3 linked regions of the Lytechinus pictus genome follow. The protein of the gene in region 1 purifies or fractionates together with the protein of each later gene. This does not show direct contact. Links are inferred from orthologs where the notes say so. Each region holds a gene or a part of one and is shown on either strand. Other genes may lie near its edges.

The links.
Region 2: the proteins of ubiquitin-associated protein 2-like (region 1) and RNA-binding protein FXR1-like purify together in Drosophila melanogaster (affinity purification with western blotting; 3 studies listed by BioGRID, with this or other methods). This does not show direct contact. The link is inferred for Lytechinus pictus from reciprocal best matches to the Drosophila melanogaster genes lig and Fmr1.
Region 3: the proteins of ubiquitin-associated protein 2-like (region 1) and ras GTPase-activating protein-binding protein 2-like purify together in Drosophila melanogaster (affinity purification with western blotting; 3 studies listed by BioGRID, with this or other methods). This does not show direct contact. The link is inferred for Lytechinus pictus from reciprocal best matches to the Drosophila melanogaster genes lig and rin.

What each region holds. Positions count from the first base shown.
Region 1 is NW_026974140.1:6,702,747-6,710,536, reverse strand, and holds the start of ubiquitin-associated protein 2-like, read left to right. Parts: upstream 1-4,742; 5' UTR 4,743-4,757; coding exon 4,758-4,790; exon of another isoform or gene 4,791-4,826; intron 4,827-7,790. Other genes in the region: hydroxylysine kinase-like, read right to left, coding at 1,201-1,254, 1,785-1,927, 2,701-2,866, 3,350-3,553. UniProt on the Drosophila melanogaster protein: Acts in the nervous system to mediate the control of copulatory organs during courtship.
Region 2 is NC_087260.1:10,215,120-10,222,707, reverse strand, and holds the start of RNA-binding protein FXR1-like, read right to left. Parts: upstream 3,115-7,588; 5' UTR 3,107-3,114; coding exon 3,030-3,106; intron 2,404-3,029; coding exon 2,307-2,403; intron 1,389-2,306; coding exon 1,317-1,388; intron 938-1,316; coding exon 855-937; intron 1-854. UniProt on the Drosophila melanogaster protein: Polyribosome-associated RNA-binding protein that plays a role in neuronal development and synaptic plasticity through the regulation of protein synthesis of mRNAs.
Region 3 is NC_087262.1:16,239,866-16,246,888, reverse strand, and holds the start of ras GTPase-activating protein-binding protein 2-like, read left to right. Parts: upstream 1-3,909; 5' UTR 3,910-4,187; intron 4,188-4,237; exon of another isoform or gene 4,238-4,317; intron 4,318-7,023.

The sequences.
Region 1 (7,790 bases):
CTTATGTCTCAGTTTTATGAACTAGACCAATATACTTACAGAGTTATGATGGTAATTCAACAAATACCCCCAACATGGCCAATATCCATTGACCTTTGACCTTGGTAATGTGACCTGAAACTCGCACAAGATGTTCAGTGATACTTGGTTACTCTTATGTCCACGTTTTATGATCTAGACCAATACACTTACAGAGATATGATGGTAATTCAACAACAAAAAACCAACATGGCCAAAGTTCATTGACCTTACATGACCTTGATCATGTGACCTGGATCATGTGACCTGAAACTCGCACAGGATGTTCAGTGATACTTGATTACTCTTATGTCCAAGTTTCATGAGTCAGATCCATAAACTTTCAAAGTTATGATGGTAATTCAACAGATTCCCCCATTATGGCCAAAGTTTATTGACCTTTGACCTTGGTCATGTGACCTGAAATGCGCACAGGATGTTCAGTGATACTTGATTACTCTTATGTCCAAGTTTTATGAACTAGACCAATATACCTTCAAAGTTATGATGGTAATTCAACAAATACCCCAAATTTGGCCAAAGTTCATTGACCCTAAATGACCTTTGACCATGGTCATGTGACGTGAAACTCATGCAGGATGTTTAGTAATACTTGATTAATCTTATGTCTAAGTTTCATGAACTAGGTACATATATTTTCTAAGTTATAATGATGACATTTCAAAAACTTAACCTTAGGTTAAGATTTTGATGTTGATTCCCCCAAAATGGTCTAAGTTCATTGACCCTAAATGACCTTTGACCTTGACATGAAACTCAGGCAGGATGTTCACTAATACTTGATTAACCTTATGGCCAAGTTTCATGAACTAGGTCCATATACTTTCTAAGTTATGCTGTCATTTTCCATGAATTTGCATATCAATAATATTAATAAATAAAAAACTAAAAATTAACGAATTATGAATAAATAATTGAACACACATACATGTATGTATATAATATGAATATAAATGAATTATAGATAAGTGACTGGATAAATACAAAATACAACATGGATGGATGGATGGATCGGAAGGTAGATAGATAGAAAGGTAGATAGAAAGGTAGGTAGATGGATGGATGGATGGATAGATAGATAGAAAGGTAGATAGATAGATAGATAGATCTACAGTTATAGTTCAAGAAAGAAATCAATAACATGGAATGGTTTAGTAGTACCTTTACCAACCTTTGAAGGTTTCGATCTTCATTACAAAAACCATCAAGGGACGCCTGATTGAAAATAATACAAAACGAATATCAGGTTATAACTAAAGTGTGTTCATTTAGCATTTAGAAAAAAGTGGAGAAACATAAATGATATTAGGAGGTTCCATACCCACTTATTTCTGTTTATTATCCAATTATTTTCCTCTTGACTATTTACTTCATTTGCATTTAAAAATCATTTTATCATAATTATTTTTTTCAGCAAACTACTTAAATTCACCCAAGATAATTGAGATATGTAGGGATAAACAACATCATACATAGGTTAGAATGCCCAAATTACAGCAACATTATCATTACAAGTAATGAAAGTTTGATTAATTACATTATCACATTGTATCAATATTTCATGGTCAGATGGTGTTTGGGGTGCCGTTTATTGTAAATATACGATGATAGCTTTTTATAATTAAAAAATATCAATAAAAAAGGCTTTGAGAGCTTTGACAATATTAGCAGATATCCAAGGTAACTTTAATATGAACGTACATGATGCGCTTAAAGTTCATTGATATTTGATAATTCCACTATACCTCTAAAATCTTGTGCAGGTGAGCAAGTTTTTTGCCAATATCTACCAAGATCTCATCTGGAAGAGTGTTCAATGACCCAAGAGGTTGACCAGGCAAGAATGACAAAAGAGTTACCATATACACACCATGTTTTCCAACAAAACCTGAAAATATCCAAGCAGATCTAAATTTAGGCATCATATATAATACCAAAGTCATGTACAATCAATAGAAGGTTTGTAGTACTTGTTACAATGGCAGTAATTAAGTTGAGGCTTAGACAAAGATTGGCAAATGATCTTTGCTTTGACAGGCATATTGTTTTAGAATAGGTTGCTCTAACATTTTTATTCAAATCCTATTGGATACTTATACCTTTGATAAAGGTGATGCAAAAATATTGAAATGAGAGCAAGTTGAACAAAAACCTTTAACATTTTCGAACAGACTACCAGAATGCACCAGCCAATCATATTCATGTTACCATTTTAAGTTCATCATAAACTGAAAATGGTAACATGAACATGATTGGCTGGCATATTCGTATGCTGCAAGCTGTAAAAGCAACTATCGATCATTGGAACCGTACAGCGGCTCTTTGGAATTTAATTTTTGGATATCAAATCATACATTTCAAGAAACTGGTATGCTGATTGTTTAGTTAAAATAATAATTTTTATTCAAACGCTTTGTTTTCTCTGTCAAAAGGGGGAATTACGGAGTAATCGAAGAGGGTGCGCTGGCAACCTTTTCTCCAGAGACGCTGTAGTTAAGCGTCGGTCAAACCTCTGCCATTACGAGCCCAATGGCCATTATCGGTCTATTGATGGAGGGGATACCGCAGAGACAGACCAAGTCTCAGCGGAGCATATCCCTGACAGAAATAGACATATTTATCGGTCTACGTCCAGTGTAAAATTGAATAGAATCATCTTACCCTTTCCATTTCCGTCATTACAAGAGATAGCCTCAAGATGAACAAGTTTGCCATATATATTACGGACTGGGCGAGGGCAGCAAAACTCTTTATTGGACAGGAATGCCATGGTGTTGACCGCCAACTCCACCCTGTTTCCATCTGCAGAATCTTTGGAGTTGTACAACTATTTAAGGAAATGAGTTGGTACATTTATAGTATAACTTGGATTTGTCAACCAAGCAATATTAAGCATCAACTGTTGGCCTTTAAAATAATAATCATAGTTTAAAGATCTTTGGCATTCTATTCCATGCTACATGTAGGTAAGTTTGTTTTGATGAAATGAAGGAGTACACTTAGGCATACAATTTTTAAAAAGTATCAAGAAGATACTTTAATAATCAAAAGATGAAGTGATTTAAATGACAACTAAGCTTTTTACTTGTGTTATGAGAAATTATCTTATACTTTAGGAATGTCAAGACTTTTTTTCCTGTGATAGAAGTTCAGAGAATACATGTACAGTTAACATGAAAGGAAACAAACAAAATATAGGGGTAAATTGTGATAGTTCGTGATAAAATTAGCATTAATAATTCCATGTATGTATGTTATGTAAGACATATTAAAATGGGTTTTTGAAAGAAAAAGCGGTTCCTTGAAATACCTTTAGAATGAACTGATCACATTTCTCATCCCCACTGCCACAGTCTATATCGATGGGACTTTCTAATCCGATGTAGAAATTTTGGTCTGTAAAACTTTTCAGTTCTTCTAGGTTTGAAGCTTGGATATTATAAAGCTTGGTAAGGAGTTCATTAGCTCCATGCAGGTCCAAGAATGGTCTATTAATGAGTTCAGATCCTTCCATAATCAAGTCTTCTCAGGGCAGGCTATAGCATAATACTCATAATAGTGTAACAAAGCGTATCTGAAATGAAACACAGTGATAAATATACTTTATAATTATATCGTTCTGAATCTTTTATCTTTTAAACCCGCTCAGGCTTAATTCCTAATTTCTAATATGATGATGATGATGATAAAGAAGATAATGATGATAATGATGATGAATGATGTCGATGATGAATGATGATGATGTCGATGATGATGAATGATGATGATGATGCCTGATGGCAATGATGTCATGATAATAAAGAATGATGGGGTCTAAAATCTAATAAAATTCTAGTAAACTATCATGAATGCAAGTGAGTAAAACTTATTATTAGGCCCCTAGGGAAATGTGGGATGATTAAACTTACTGTACATACCTTAGGCTTGTACAAGTTCAAGATCGTAAGACGTAACACAGCTGACTATATTATTATTCACTATAGGCTTACAATATATATATAGCGTATACTAGCTAGCCTACTGCATGTACTGCAGCCCTGTGTACAGCTAGCCCGATTGAAAGTTAAATGTCCCAATTTAAGTTTATTCGATTATAAGAGAGGGTATAAACCTTCATTCTCAAAGATCATTATCAAATGATTATAGAGTCACAAAAGATAAAGTGTACATTATTGCATTATATAAAATAAGATATATACAAAACTTAAATAGTAACCGGTACTTCATTTGAAATACATTGTAATTTGTATTCAAATGATAAAGTCGGCTGAATTTTGTTCCCCCTCCCCCTACTCATACATTAGATTTTCCCGGAAGTACTTGTCTGGTCGCCGCGAAATATTTTTGCCCTTAGTCACGTGACTCCGGCTTTGTGAACCATCGGATCTCAATTTTGTGAGAAAGGTAACGTAAACTTAGTAAGTATTGCGAGATAATTTATTGAAAAGTACTTTTTAAAAAGTGTTTATGAATAATAGAAATAGCTATCCTTATGGAGAAATAATTAAAGCACTAATTTTTGCCATTGATAAAATAAATTTTCAATGTTTAATTGAGGGAATCGGATTTAATTTTTGTCTTGCACGCGACATTTTTTATCACATTGTTATTGTTCATTCTGTGTGTGTAGAGCGTGCATGGTGAATGCGTGTATGCGAAACGTACATGTACACGTACACGAATGGAATTGGTTCCGTGAGGATGCGAGTCGTGCATGCATGTTGACTGGTGTTGATTGGGTTGACGTTGAGGTTCGCGAATTGATGTAATTTAGAGTCTCGTTGAGTGTAAGAATTGTTTGGGTTATATAGACTAATACTTTTTTGCACCGGCTGATTTCGGGCAAATTTCCCCACTAGAGTCTAGACATGCCAGAATTATGAATAGGCCAGGGGCAGGGGCCTGTTGCATGAAACTTGAAGGGTCTTTTGTAGACTAGTAGAAGTTAGAACCATTCTAATTTCTACGTAAGACTAAGAACGAGATATCGCTCAACTACTGTTTCACAAAGCGATACGAAGAATGGTCCTTGGAAAGACACCTCCAGACATGTCCTACGTAGGCATGATCTTCTTTGCACACCGCCCGCCACCGTCGGCATTGAGAGAAAATGCGTTTACGGCAAGCTACGCAGACATATCACCTTCAAACATTTTTTTGGGTTGCACACTGATGCATTTTATCTGGGATGGCACCAAGTTATTTTTTATATGGGGGCTATTTGTCATCAATTTCAGGTCGTCTTTTTGCACGGTAAGACGACCAAAAACAGATGTCATTTTAACTCCTCCGGGCATTATGTCCGGGCCTAATGTAGGCCCAAATATTTTTTTTTTATTTTTTTTCTTTTATTCTCCGTCCTATCCCCATACCATTTCCATTAATTTTTTTTTAAATAACAAAATGGGCGGCACTATCTCTGACCCCTCATGCTTTCTCAAGTGTAGATAATTGAATAAACAACATGAAAACAAATTTCTTTAAAAGAAATTATGTGGTAAAAAAAGTGTTTATAACGTTCAGCAAAAAAAAAAACACGATACAAAACTAAAATGTTAAACATGGTAAATCATTCATTTACTTTTATTTCATTTTCATTATAATTATTTTTTTTGCTGAGATTAATTTTAATCAATGAAAATTAATTGTGGGATTTGGGCTAACTTGAGATCTGAAACAGTGAAACAAAACAAAAAATCTGCAGTAACAAAATAGCTAATTGAATCTAAGATACAGATTAGGCCTATAGCTTACGAATCCATCACAATTATTACAAATGAAGATAAGCTAGTTCATTAAAGAAAAGATTATGGGAAGTCCATACGAAGAGGCGCATTTTAAATCGTAGGGTAGGCCCCTTTCGGCCCCTATGTAGGCCTAATGTTAAAGCAATAATGTAGTCTCTATACTCCTCAACTTTGAAATGTTGAACATATATATTTTTTATATTCTTATATAAGCTTCCATAAATTAAGTGATCAACTTTAAAGATGACCAACGTTTATGATCATTGTAATATTTAGCATTATTTCTGTAAATAGTATTTTTTCCATTGCGGATTGCACACCTTTTCTATGTTTTAATTGTTATTGCAAAGCACTACTTTATCCACTTGGACATGTTTGCAGCAATTTTCATATTTTCCTTGTCTTCGGTTACTTATCATGCAACTGAGGTATGTTTATACTCTAAACACTCACATTTGTATTTCTTGCGTTATATCTGACAAATAAAATAAATAAATTAGATTTTACACAGGCAGCCTCTCATATTTTCCTCTTTAGTCTCATACAATCAGACACTGTTGATTTTGTTTACTTCATTCAAACCCTATTTTTACCTCAACAGATAACATATTAACGGATAATTTGCAAAATCATCATTATATATATGTATTCTATAAAAAATCAGTATATTGAACTAATAGAATGTCGAAATTACTTAGTTAAATCAATTTTTATGTCGGAAAAGGTCTCTTCGTTGAAATATCAATGAAAGGTGTCTCTAAAAGGACACTGTGTTCTAAATAAGGGAAATAATGAAAATTTCGATTTTATCAAGTTATGTTTGTGAATCTTGAAAGTTTTTTCTCTTTTTACCTCATAAAGTACGCTCCATACATCAATTCTACAATCAGTATTAGATAAAACATTATTTGACCCCCTTTTATTGAAAAATATGATTTTATGAAAAATCGTCATTCCGAAATAAAAGGTTCAGGTGACGATGAAGACTAAATATTTTTCCGATACTATCGATATCAAACGATGTCGCGGACTTGAAAGATAAAATTGCCTTCGTGATTTGGAAAGCGCTGATTTGTCGCCAATCTTCCTATCTCGGAAGAATGGTCCTAGGACGTTCCTAGGTATCGCTCATCTCGTCGTGCAACAGGCCCCTAGTCTATAGTAGTAATGACCGTATTGTAATGTAAGCAAATGACAAAATGTCAACTCTTGGCCATGGGACGTGTGGGCATGGCAAGTGCTAACCCAGGGGGCTCCGGCCCGCTGCGCGGGCCGGAGCCCAGGGGCTTACCGTGTAATTCACCATACCCACGGTAGTAGCATGAAGTATGGTCTAAATAATTTTAAGAATAAATAGTTAAAACAGAAATTAAGCACTTACCACGATTATATGGATGAAGGTCTAACGAGTGGCAGCTTCCTGACATCGAGGCACAGACGGGAACCTCAAAAAACGAAAAGTTCCGTCGCGGTAGCTCTCCTTCTTTCAGAATTCAAAACAAAATGGCCGATCGAGACCGAGGCTATATAGCACTAGCGCATATAGACTTTGTCAAATTCGTGCATGCGCCCTACACCCTCGGTACCGGTCTCGAACGGCCATTTTGCTATGAATTCTGAAAGAAGGAGAGCTACCGCGACAGAACTTTTCGTTTTTTGAGGTTCCAGTCTGTGCCTCGATGTCAGGAAGCTGCCACTCGTTAGACCTTCATCCGTATAATCGTGGTAAGTGCTTAATTTCTGTTTTAACTATTTATTCTTAAAATTATTTAGACCATACTTCACGCTACTACCGTGGGTATGGTGAATTACACGGTAAGCCCCTGGGCTCAGGGGAGCTCCCTGGTTTGGTTAGGCAAGTGCCAGTCTAGACCAAAAAAAGCTTCGGTCTCTGTTATGTTGGTTGTTCCGCTGGACTACGTTGGCTCCACTCACCAAATACATTGACCGAAGTTAAACCTTCGTCTGTACAGACTACAGGGGCTCAATGGGGCGCTAATGCAG
Region 2 (7,588 bases), on another chromosome or scaffold:
AAATGTTTAGATATGAATGTATATCCATGAATTCATTGATTTCTAGACAATTTGGTGTGTTCTCCTTTGTTTACAAAGGACATTTTGCAAATTTCCTGTAGAAAAATTATGACACAGATGGATTTCCATAGTTATGATTGATTGGATCAATCGTAAATCTTTGTAAGACGTGGCCCTGGCCTGATTATCACATGTACCATGGGTTTGGCCTGGTGATCTTACAGAGCACAAGCATTACAAGGAATCGATTCCGGCCAGGTACACATTTACCTCACCTGGGTTGAGTGCTACACAATGTAGAACAATGTCTTGCCGAAGGAAACTACGCCATGGCTGAGATTTGAACCCAGGACCCTCTGTTTCAGAGTCTGGAAACTAATCCACTGGGTCAACATGCTCCAATTGCTTGACTCTGTTCTTTATATAATTGCTGATTATGCCAAATAACTATTAATTTCAAGCATGGTGTCATGGCCGATGTTGGCATTGCCATAATCACTTCACAAACGCTTTGTATGCATAGAATCTTTTGTCATAAGCCCTACATTGACATAACACCCTTTGTCGAAAATTGGTGAATCAAAATAGCAGTGTCCTCCTGGACTCTTGACAAACGATATTCATGTATCTCCAACTTTTCGTCTGCTCCAAATCTTTGGACGATCTGCTTTCCCGATCCACCAACTTTCAACAAAAACTTCTCTGCTCTTCATAGTGACTTTATACTTGCATTTTTGAAAGAAATTAGTGCGTCATAGCACGCGTCTGTGTAGTGGGTGCAAAAAATTCTGACACCAACATCTGATTTCTCACACCATACTTCAAATCCCCCAAAACATCACTGTGAAACTCACTTTGGATTTATCCGCCTCAGCCTATCGCCTTGTACTATTTCATTGTAGGTGGCATCATAGCCTGTATATTCTATGACAAAAAACTGCAAGAGGAAACAAAATAAAGATTCCATTATTTCATATGCTTCATTTATCCCCCAAAAATCAAAACATTTGTAAATGGAGAATATTGCTGCATGAAAATTTAGATTACAATTACAATGTGTTAAATCGTTTAATGGACAAGTCCACCCCAACAAAAAGTGGATTTGAATAGATAGAGATAAATCCAATAAGCATTCGATCAGTCTTTGTTATTATTACTTATCTTTTTGATTGTCACATTTAAAATATATTCATTTACATACATATCTTTCCATATGAAGATGCTAAGTTATTACTCACTTATGAATAAAATGCAGAAACTCCTAAGAAGAAAGAAATATGCCATGAAATATGAAAGTAACTATATATCTTTCTTACCTCCCCTTTCACCATTTGTATTTTGGCTCTCCACCATCCGCAAGGTTCACCTTCAAATGACCTTGAATACACCTGAATAAAAAAAGAAGTTTTTATTTATTTATTCATTCATTTATTTCTTCTTTATTAGGGTGGCTCACTCGGTAATTTGAATACTGTTGTCCTTGGAGGCTCTTAAACAAAAATTGTGAATTCAATAGTGATTATGATATCACAAGAATGTACTCTTTTGTAGAAACTCAGGTCTTATTAATCCAAGGCAACTCTTTTGTAGAAACTCAGGTCTTATAAATCCAAAGCCACCAGGCCATGGCCTTGGGTGCCTTATTGGTTGGCCTCGATTCCCTGCTCAATGCGAGAAACAATTTTCTTAGTATGGCATTATTTGCAATACGCTCCATATTTTGTTATAAATGCTACACAAATATTCATTAGTGCAAAAATGTTTCACATAGGACTGTAAAGAACATCGTTGAAAGCATTCCTCTTCCAACCAAAAATGCTAATCAAAGTTGAAAAGTAAAATTATTCCCTCCATTGGATATGCTGAACATTATATATTAATGTGCTTTCTAGATAATAATAATAATAATAAAGGTATATTTACCCAGGGTAGCCACTTCAGTTCCGAAAACTTTTCTCCCAGCGGGCCCTGCTATTATTACCTGGCTAAGCTAGGCTACCTATTCGGTGCACACAGCTTTTCGAGGAATTACTTCCTGCCGGTACCCATTTACCTCACCTGGGTCGAGTGCAGCACACTGTGGATGAATTCCTTGCTGAAGGAAATTACGCCACGGCTGGGATTTGAACCCACAACCCTGTTTCAAAGTCCGGAGACTAATCCACTTGGCCACGACGCTCCACTCAGGATATGTGGCCTTGCCCAAAACTATCAAAGGGGGGGGGGGGTGTCTGCTTATAATGCAGATTTTTCACATGGTCTTTCCGTATCCTAAAAACAAAGGATTAATGTCAGGTGATTCCTACCTCGACCTCATCATCAGCCTTAAGTTCTAGCACTTCTCTTGATGCTTCTGGTGGAAGACGAACAACATTGATAGGAACTCTTCTCTCTGCTGTCCAACTAAAAACAATGACAAAACAAACAAATATTATGGAATGATTGTATGGAAAACATTTATTCATTATAGAATCCAATCTAATGGCTATTGAAAACTCAAACCTCCATCTAAATTGGTATATGATTGTGTACATGTAGGACCTCAAGAATGATTCATTGCTGATTTTAGTCTAAGTTTAAAATACATGTACATTTAGAACAAACTACATGAAGAGAAAGAACTCACAAAATCTTTCTAGATAATGATGACAATTATTATGAAAATAGCTCAATGATGATGGAGATGATGATGATGAAGATGATAATGATTACATGTACATGTATGATGGTGATAACACAGATGATCTGATGGCGTTCATGATGACGCTGATCTGATGAAGATGACGTTCATTATGACGTTCAGGATGATGACGATGGTGATGATGATGATGGTGATGATGAAGATGATGGTAATGATGATGTTGATAATCATAATGGTAATGATGGTGATGATGGTATAGACAACAATGATGGTGGTGGTGATGATGATGATGAAAATGACAATTTTTATGATGAAAATTATGTAAATTTATGTCACACTTGGTAGAGAGATTTAAAGAAAATGCATTTAAAAATAGAGCTCAACTTACTTGTTTTCAAATGCTATGCTCACTTCGTCTTCAAGTATATTTTTTAGCACTGCCTGTGGATTATACAAGAAAAACATTTGATGAATTTTCTTACACATTTGAGGAAAAATATTTTATATCAAAATATATATTTTATATATAAAAAATAAGGGTGAAATTGATGGATAGTCAAGGTGTAATGAAGGATAATGGAACAAATATACAACTAAAAAAAAAAGATATACAGAACTGTACGGTACATGAAAGATAATACTGTACAACGCAAAATTTTATTAACTCAAAGTAGTGCGAATATTAAGATTTCAAGTGAAATCTTATCCCTCCCTTTTCAATCTACCGTAATTGTAACTTAGACGAGACTCTGAATATACCCAACTTACCAAAAAGGGGTGAAAATGAAATAGAAAGAGAGTATAACATAGCCCTAAAACAATAGCACTACTTAAGTTACATGTACATGTAGATCTACATGTAATTTTTAAATTGCAAGATTACATGTAGATTTAATAGGGATACATGTACATTATAGGCTTGCTTAAAACAAAGACATCAAAAAGAATGCTCCAGCCTCATTACTGGCTAAATCATCATGCCATAAAAATTATATCATGAATAAATTACACCTGTCTAGTGTTGGCAAATTGAACAAAAGAAAAGCAATTATTGTCTGAGCTACCTTGCATTGTGCGAAGTTCACACCCATTATGTACATTATGTATGTACATTGCAGAGTGTGGGAATTCCTGACTGGGGGAATCCCCACTTCCTATGTACATTACACTGCAACATGATTGATGTACGGGAATGCAAATGAAGGAGAGGCAGTATAAACTAGGATTTCTTGCAAAATTACTCAGGAAGCTCAAGTGTTATGGTCTCAATGTTGCGCCATCCCAGTCTGCATGCCCTTGGCTTGTATCTAATTTCCTATTGCAAAAATTGCTTTATCTATGTCACTGAAGTACAGTGTGTAATACAGTACTGGGGAGCGTTTCATGAAAGGACTTGTAGTTGTCAGACGTTTTATCCGACAAGTACTGTTTTATCTGACAGTTACTATGGTAACAGTGCATCTCCACCAATCATAATCAAGGAAAAGTTGTCAGACCTGACAATTTTTGTCAGACAAAAATGTTGATGAAATGCTCCCCTGTACATGCACTCTTTCATAAAAAAAAAATCAAATGCACTGAAGTAAAACAGATACATGTAGTACTACATATGAAGGGCAAATACAATGTATGTACTGTACATGTTTTTTACTCTACATAACAGAGACAATGACATAATTTCATCTTCAGACATTCCAATGCAGTCTGGCGGTTCCTATTTCTGGATGCATTGCATGAGTCTTGAGGCATCCCCCTACAATCCCATCTGACAAAGATGGATCCACCGAGCCGAGGGGGTGAATTCTTTGTGATCGTCCATCATCTCTCAATGGGAATTGCGGAATGGAATCGGACCGACGATGAAAGGACAAAATGACCTCATGATCATAGGAAATCTCATCGTCGACCCTGTTCCAATTGGAGAGAAAGAGTGATGGACCCTGCATGTGAAAGTGCTATACAGGAGAGTTGATAGAAATATTTTGCCCACGGTGACACTCCAAACCAAGAACAGAGTCAAAAGCACAGATCTACAGAACAAAGTCCCGTTTGATAAAGACTTGTTCAATACCAAATGCACAATTTCTATAACAAATTCAATATCAGCTACATGTATTAGAGGAAAGGATTTTAATTCGTAGCTTATAACTGTTATTGTATTAACATTTGTAAATGATCACAAAATTCGATTTTGAGATAATTACAACTGGAGCTAATACTTGTACTATCCACCTACATGTATCCCCCTTGATCTATCCCTAATTCTCTCTCCTTCCGTCCTCTTCAAGCTCCCAATGCTATTCCCAAGTGGGAGAAATGTCAAAATGCTGGAGGAATGGAATTCTTTTCTTGAGAGTCAAGTACTATTGATGGACAGCTCATGTTGAGTCTGTCGGGTAAACACAATCCTTCACTTCTCTGATGATATCAAATAAAGGGCAAGTCCACCTCAACAAAAAGTTGATTTTGAAAATAAAAAGATAAAAATCCAACAAGCAAAGTACACTGAAAATTTCATCAAAATCGGATGTAAAATAAGAAAGTTATGACAATTTAAAGTTTCGCATAATTTCACAAAACGGTTTACATGTATGCACATCCTGGTCGGTATGCAAATGAGGAGACTGATGACATCATCCACTCACTAATTCTTTTGTATTTTATTGTATGAAATGTGAAATATTCCCATTTTCTCCTCATTGTCAAGTGAAACAACAAATAATTCCTCTCTGAAAATGTAGAATTTGCATTGTCTAATATATGGTTCAGTAAAGTTAGTCCTTATTGTCAAATCTGTAAAAAGAGATATATTGTGTAATTCAAACAATAAAAAACAACAGAAATAGTGAGTGAGGGACGTAATCGACTGTCTCATTTGCATGTCACTGAGTTGTGCAAATCACTGTTTTGTGAAAAATAAGTGAAACTTTAAAATGTCATAACTCTCTTACTTTACATCCGATTTTGATGAAATTTCAGCATTATGCTAGTTTGATTTTTCTCCATTTATTCAAATCAACATTTTTCTGGGGTGAACTTGACCTTTAACTATTAAGAGGACGGTTTATTTAATTTGTCTAATGCCAATTTGTCTAATTACCAACTCGTCTACTATCATTTGGTCTATCACCAATTTGTCCACTATCCACATGGTCTAATTGCCATTTCGTCACCTCACTATTTCATCTAATAACCAGTTGGCCCAATAGCCATTAATAGTCCACAATCCATTTGGTTTAATTGGAAAAATGTTAATTGGGCAAAACCAAGACGAACTGGTGATTAGACGAAGTGATGATTGGACCAAATGGATATTGGACCAATTGATTGTTAGACGAAATGTTGATGGACGGAATGGCTTGAGTGGACGAGTTTGCAGTGGATGAATTGGCAATTTACCTGGAAAAAATTACTTGGGGGCTCAGGGTGAATTTGCACCCAAAAAGCCTTGGAAGGGGGGGGGGGCATTTCCTAAGCAAATTAGCCCAGAGCCCCAATAATTGTTTCCCTTTCTACAGTTTTTTTAACATATCTGCAAGATGATTGCAATACACTATCCAAATATGTACAGTGAAGAGGATCCATGTTTGTCTCTTTTTGGCTGCGATGTGCTTGAACATAACGTACCCTGAGTGAGCGCCATGTCCTCGGCATTTACTCTTTCTTATCAGAGACTCTATCAGCTTCAAGACAACGATGGGGAAACCAATTTAAAAGAAGCATAAAATACTCAATGAACTGTATGCATGATGACTGAGCCTCAGACCATTATGCTATTAATCCTCTCAAAATTTATAAATTACGCATCTAGAGAATATGAAGAATAGACATAGTTGCAGACATCACGTACCCCAGGTTCGACCCCTCTAGTAAATTCTTTTTGTCAAAAAAAGAAACGATTGTTTGTCTTCATTCTTTTAAAGGTTAAAAGCCAGATTTCTAAAGAAAATATTTTGTTGCTCTTCTTTTGCATCTTCTGCAATAAAACTCACTGTAATGTGCTAGATTATATACACATGTATTTGAGTAATGAACTACATGTATGTCTGGTAATGTACATCATCAATACACTATGTTTTGTGCAGCAATAATCTTCTGTAATGTGTACATATACTACACATACATGTATGATATCTTCTGCAATGAACTACCAACATGTATCTGATGATTTTTTGCATGGTCAGCCCCCCACTTTCAAAACCGTTCCGCAGCCCCTGTTCTATACATGTACATCTTCTGTGAATATCTACAGTTAATAAATACCTACATTGTACATGAATCTTGTACTTTCTTCTGACATATCTTTCATGTAAAAATGCATGCAAGTTTGTTGCATATTGTTGAAAAACACTATGTATACATAATACATAATACATAAAGCATATTGATGTTGATACTGTGCACAACGTTGCCAGAACTGGCATAATTATGCTTTCTGGCATAATTTCGACCCTTTCAGCATAATTCATTATGCTGGTATAATTTTTGCATAATTAGACTTTTTTAAGCAAAGAATCTGGCATAATAATAGCATATTTAGCATAATTTTGATCGATTTTTTCCCCCCAAGTGTTGTTTTTCATTTTTCACATTCTACTAATGAACGGCGCCAGCACCGACAGAAGTGGGGGAAATCGTTCACATGCATGCATCCACTCCTAAAATTTAGGTTGATAACCTTTTTTTTTTTTTGCTTGTCAAAAAAAAAACGGTTTGGCATAATTTTTCGCGATTTAGCATAATTTCGCTGCTCCTCTGGCATAATTGGATTTTTTCACTGGCCACGCTGACTGTGCAAGAGCATGTGGTGTAGAAGTGCATACAGTAGTATGACATCTGCATCTAAATAGAGCTACATGTATGCTGTATTGCATTTGTACTGTCATCTTTTCAGCATGCAGTCATAGCCAAGCCAAGTCGACAGGCTTGTTGATAAACATGAGCATG
Region 3 (7,023 bases), on another chromosome or scaffold:
GCCCCGATATCTTATTTGAATAAAATTTAGCAAGCTTATTGCACAATGTTGTATGCAGTCCAACTTTCTTCCCGCTCTTTATTTTCAATCATCGGCATGCAGCCAGGTCGTGTTATTAAGTGTTTTATTTTTCTTGTCCCTTTTCTTCGTTTTCCAATTTAGCTTTTGACTAATTCCATTCTAACTTCATTTCCCGCTATTGTTTGCCATTTTGTCATCTTTTAATTTATTTCCCATCACGCTATTGCATTATTTTCGGAATGATTTATCCTTCCTCAAAATAAATGTTCTTCTTTCGTTCCTTTTCCCGCTGTCCTTCCTTCCTATTCTGTTGGCGTTTTCTTTTCCCTTTTCCTCTCCTTTTCCTCCTTTCCTTTTCCCCTTTCCTATTCCCTTTCCCTTTCTTTCTCCCTCCCTTTCCTCTTTTTCCCGTTTTTTTTTATTTTCCCGGTGAAATCCGCCAGGGGGCAGCTTGCCCCCCCTGCCCCCCCCCCCGCCTGTTACGCCACTGATATATAGATAGATGAATAAATAAATAACGATATATACATTCAGGCGTGTCCCCCTGCCTGACACCCATGCCAACCCCCCCCCCAAAAAAAAAAAAAAAAAGAATTCGACGTCAGTATAGTTGTGTCTCATAATTATGTCGGCCTTCTTATTGTTTTTGGAGCCGCTAGAATTAATTTTATTTCAATTTCCAACGACTGTGTTTTTTGTTTGTTTCGTATATGAAGCAAATTTCTCTACGTACAATGGCAAGATTTCCATACAAAATAGGGTGGGAATGGAGGTAGCTGCTAAAAAAAAGGTGGAGCTGCATGCAGCATTCTCATATTCTTTTAAAGTATTTGGGGCTATAGCCCCCCACCCCCTCCCCTCAATAAAAAGCGCAAGTAGAGGCAAGATGACAATCAACTTGAGCATAAATGTACGACCAGTATAGTACTGACAATTTTTCTCGTTTTTATTACTTTTTTTAGTACCGAAACTCTGGAAATTTTGGGCCGGGATAATGAGTGGAAGGATACCCCTCTACAGTGCGTATCAAAAAACAGTTTACACTTTGAAAAAGCCCTGGGAATTAGAAAATATACAACGTGTGGGTAATTTTTTTCACATATAATCTTGGGTTTGGGTCTCATTTATCCAATGAAAGTAAAAGTTTTGACAGAATGTTACACTTGAGTGAGCACTGTCCTTTTTTGTAAAGCTCGCAGAAATCTGTTTGCGCAGAAATGCTCGTTTGTACGCTGTGTCAAGGGGAAAGGGCGAAATCAAAACTTACCCTGCGAAACATTTCTCATTCATTTCCCTTGCACTTTTAGTCAATTGAAATAAAACGTATACATTTTCTAACAATTTTGCCACCCAAATTGATATTTCAACACTTAGTAAACACAACCTTTACCCTTTTTGTGTCAGCTGGATCTGAGGACATAACTGGATCTGAACAAAAGTTTATACCAGACATCTCTAGCATTTTTTACTAAGTTTTTATCATTTAAAGTGGGTTTATATATTTTTTTAAATTTAACACTTGTTTCTCCACACTTTTCCCAAGCTTGAAAATAATTAACAAAATGAAAATCAAGCCTCAGCCATTTTATGTAAATCAAGTATAAAGCAAATATCGTCACAATGGCCTCGATGTGTGGTGGGGTGGAGCGCAATCAGTGGCGTACCTAGGATTTTCCAAAGGTGGGGGCAAATTCGTCCGCCAAAAAATTTGACAAGCAAAAAAAAAAGAAAGGTCTTCAACCACAAGTAAAGGACATTTCGCACCATAAATAAATTGACAAGCAAAAAAAAAAAAAGGTCTTCAACCACAAGTAAAGGACATTTCGCACCAGAAAAAAATTTGACAAGCAAAAAAAAAAAGGTCTTCAAGTTCAAAGGAGGGGGCCACTTGTGGCTCGTCAGGGATCAGTTTTGACTCGTCAGGGGGGGCAGGGATACGTCCTTTGCATGAGTTGTGACTCGTCGGTCAGGGGGGTAGTCTGCCCCTCCCCCCCCCCCCCCCTTAGGTACGCTAGTGGGCGCAATGCACTCCTCAAAGTGGTTTGGGCAAGGAAACAAGTTAAAAAAAGGTAAAAGATATCTTCAAAATATTACTAGCTAAATTCCACGTGTTATTCATGATTAAGGTCTACTTTTATTCGCATAACTATTTCAAAGTTCTGCGCAAATCATTTTTCACTAACTTTTCAAAAGTAAGTAATGCTCACTCAAGCGGAAATATTTTTCGACAGTCATAATTTTATCGTCATTTGCTTAAATGGATCCGTACCAAAGTTAAATTGTGGAAAAATCTTCAGGATATTACAAAATTTGTATAATTTTACAGGATTTTTTCTAAGTGTAAACCTTTTTTTGATACGCACTGCATATAGACACAACCGGTTACAATATAGCTTATATCGACCTTATGGCTGATTTCTGTAATTGAATACATTATTCATCAGTTTGAAGCTCTTTAAATACATAGATTATTGTGTATTAATTGTGATCAATCGTCAAAATCAACTGATCAGTCGCCATACCGCCGGGATAAAAAAAAATCTAGCCCTCCAGCTGCTGTCCCGTGTAGCCACCGACTACATAATAAAGGTCAAGTCCACCTGAAAAAAAAACGTTGATTTGAATCAATAGAGAACAATCAGACAAGCACTATGCTGAAAATTTATCGGATGTAAAATAAGAAAGTTCATGACATTTTTGAACGGTTTCGCTTATTTTCCACAAAATAGTTATATGCACAATTTAGTCACTTGCAAATGGGAGAATCGATGATGTCTCTCACTCACTATTTCTATTTTTTTATTGTTTGAATTATAGGGCCTACAATATTTAAATTTTTATAGATTTGACAATAAGGAGCAACTTGACTGAACCATGAAATATTATGGTTAATTCCACATGTTCAGGGAGAAATAAACTTTGTTTCACAGGACAATGGGGAGAAAATTAGAATAATTCATATAATAAAATACAAAAGAAATAGTGAGTGAGTGATCACTGTCATCAGTTCCCTCATTTGCATACCAACCGGTATGTGCATATAACTGTTTTGTGAAATTGACCGAAACTTAAAAATGTCATAACTTTCATATAATACATCCGATTTTGATGAAATTTTCAGCGTTATGCTTGTTGGATTTTTCTCTTTTTATTCAAATCAACTTTTTGATGGGGTGGACTTGTCCTTTAAAAACTTCCCTAGCGAGAGGGTATATGTTCGGCGATTTTGTGAATTAAATTTTGGTTTTTATATAGGGCCGGGATCGACCCCCTGCTTTTCGAATTTTGAGGGGGCCGGGAAATTTGCTTTGCCCCTCTCCCAACGAATGATTACAATAGGCACAACACCAGGCTATATCATTTTAATAATCATAGTAACAACAACAATAATGATAATAACAATACGGATCGAAGAAGAATAAATTTTTCCCTTCTACTTTCTTCTTCTTCTTCTTTTCCATCTAAATAATGATCTGCGTACTAGGCCTACGTACACTAGCCCCTGCCTATTTGCCCCCATTACCACCAGGGCAATTACCACCAATTACCAAGAGGAACGTTGATCAAGCCTTAGATTCCATAAAGAAGTATACGAAGAAATTACCACCAAAGAAAAAAGGGTGGGTTGGGGTCACTTAAAAGCCTCTCAGAATCCGATTTCGATTTTGTTGAAATTCGACATGGATTTCCACTTTTTCAGCTTGCTGCATATTTATCTAGTTGTTGGGGTAAAAGTTGTACCGGTGACAATGTAATTAAGTCACGAATTATCAATTTCCTATCCATTGTTTACTTCTTACTTGATCTTCTTTGTTTATTTACTACGCCTCACTTTTTCAGGAAATTACGTCATTTTTAACTTGGGTCTTTGTATATGGTGTGGAAATCATTCCAACTCCGATTTGTGCTCTTGCATGGCCCATTATGAGATCGCGCAGGGTCTGTCGGGTTTCCCGCCTGACTCTCAGGGAAATTGTGCGCAGAGAAACTGTGAAATCAGTTCAGTTTGCGCACTGTGAATACATGTGCAACAATATTGCCCGAATTTCATGAGCCCCATTTTAATATTTTTTTCGGTTTTTGATTGTAAGGAAGCAGCATAATTCCAAATACCGATGAAAAAATAGGGTTTCACGAGGGACAGGAAATTATTCTACTTGTGCAAGGTGAGTTTGGTGATTTTGTTTTATTTTACCATTGTTATGGTGTGAAATGCACGTTTTCATGATTGTGCCGGTGTTGCATGATGTGCGTCGAATTTTATGTCGAATGATTTCCTTCCTGATCTTTCCAAAGGTGCAATTTAATACTTAAAATGATGTATGATTATTAACCTCTGGTATTAAAAGGTGTATGATATGCTAATATATATTCCTTTCCTGTTTGTAGTCATGATTTGCTTTAATTCATTTTTTCTGGCCCAATTTACATCTTCCATACAATGAATGAAATGACTTCACGTGAGAGTGAGTGGGACATGGCACTGTGGATCACGGGACTGTAGCCGCGACGTACGGTGCAGGGCACCGTTGCATGATGCCTGCTGCATTTGCATTTGTCACTGCGGTGCAATGACAATGTCATTGCCATGTCATGGTCCTGGCCTTTAATCTTTATCATCAATATTATTATCAAGTTCAGAATTCTAACTGCTTTATAACTCATAATGATTTCCTGTAATTTCTAGATAAACATGATAAATAACCTTTGAAATTAGAGTTTAGACCTAGAACTAATACTAATAGAAATCTACTTGACTGAATCTCACTTTGTCAGTGCCACTGGAAGTAACTGCCAGGCCGGGCAGAAAGAGGCTTCTCAGGTCAGACAATTTTTTTTTTTTTTTGGGGGGGGGGGGGGTGGGGTCTTGAAGACAAGATGGCTTTTATAATGTTATAAAGAGGGGGGGGGGTAAATATACACACCTAACATTGGACTGATGTTGATTATTTCAAATTATATTCTCAACACAGAAAAAGTCTTGTTGAAGAGTTAAGGTGAAGTTCACCCCAAGCCTGATGAAAAGTTTGATGTAAAAATACCCCAAAAAAAATATTGATGAAGGGAAGAAGGTTCGACTTTGAGGAAAATCCATTAGATCTAAAGATTGAAATTTACTTGAATTTAAAGATTTTGATTCATGACGTCATAGGAGAGTAGAGGCGCACGGCCAATATTGGAGACTGTCTCCAATGTGGGAGATTATCTCCAATATCAGAGACTTTTGTAAAGAATTTGGGTATCCAATTTCAGAGACAGTCTCCAGTTTTGGAGTCCAATTTCCTTTGTTTACATTTGCTGCAAAAGGATTACCTTGGCGGCAAATAAAAATGTGATAAGCAGATTCCTCATGAAAAATTACCCCTTTTCACCATCTACTTTAAAAATTCACCGTCTACTTTTAAGTTTTATTTTGATAAGGAATTTTGTTGTCAATCACACACAAAACAAATGGGCTTCTGACCTCAGTGAGACAAAATTTTTGGTGGAAAAAATCATACTTTTGTTGGTGTTGTTTCTTTTGTCCTTTTGCAAAGCAAGTCTCCAATGTGGGAGATTGTCTCCCCTATTGGAGAGAGTCTCCCATATTGGCCGTGCGCCTCTACTGTAGGATTCTACCAGCAGCTGCCCAGGCCATTCATGTACATACATAAATTCTAATTTATCAAAGGGGAATGAAACCTTTGGAACAAGTTGGCTTTTGTGGAAACAGAAAAATCAAAGAATAATATCAAAGAAAGTTTGAGAAAAGTCGGACAAATAATAAGAAAGTTATGAGCATTTGAATATTGCGATCACTAATGCTATGGAGATCCTCCATTGGCAATGCGACACGTTATACAATAAAACCCATTTTCAACTTTTTGAGCAAATGACATTTCACTGATTTTAAAATCACGATACATAGGAAGCTGCTCGCGTTTGTCACAAATCACTCAAGGGTTCATTACATGCCGCCGTGCACAGAAAAATCAAGCCATAGAAGTCTTGTGTTGTGGACACCAGAAGTGGGATCGCAGCACGCGCGACCCACTAGTTCGAAATTCACTGCCAAACGCGGTTCATGGTGCGAGGTTAGTATACTAACCTCGCAATACGTGTGAGTGGTCACAAATAAGAAAAAACAAATTCTAATAACTTTTTAGATCTTTGAAGCATTTTCCTCAAACCATCACCAATATTTTTGATTATTTTTCTGCTATTTTTAAAATAAACTTTTTGTCATGGTGACCTTCCCCTTTAATCAACCAAGGATTTTTTTTTGCTACCGACTGCAGCTTTAGCGATCAGATTTGATGTTTTGATCAATGATTAGGATACAGCCCAGACATTCGGAAGATGGTATCGCCTTCAATCGTTCTAGAACTTTTGTGCAAAATGATTGTGATAGAAAATGTTCTGTTGCTTAGAAATTCTGTTTCAAACATTTAATTTGACATCCCTTGCCGATCATTGTCCAATGTTGATCCATGGTGGGGTGAAATCGTAAATGTGTACAGGAGCTGTTGACTTTGCTACATGGCACATGCAGGATGTGCAGATTCAGTTTCCATTATTTTATCTTGGTTGAATCATGACAAATCCAGTGGCAGACAGGCATTCCCATCATCCCAGGCCTTAACGTTTAATAGCGCGTTTTCGCCCAGCGTCGTACGACGCTATCTACGACGTAGAACGATCTCTTGGTTCGTGCGTCCGTCGCGCTCAACTCTCGCTTGTAAGCAGTTTCGCAAATCGCTGAACGCGGCCGGATCGACCGCCAACATATGCATTGTATATGTTCCTACTATGTGCACACAACTGGCAGTGCCACGTGTCTTGCAGTCGCGTCGTCGACCGAGCCATGCAACGGCTTTTCAATCATATTTCAATAATCATACTCGTTTAAACTTCTACTGTAACATTTTGAAATTATACTTAGCTTGATTTTAGTATAATTGAAATGGTACTCACCGAAAAACTCGCATTCGAGTCCATGTTTTGAAGCTTTCAGCTATCAGT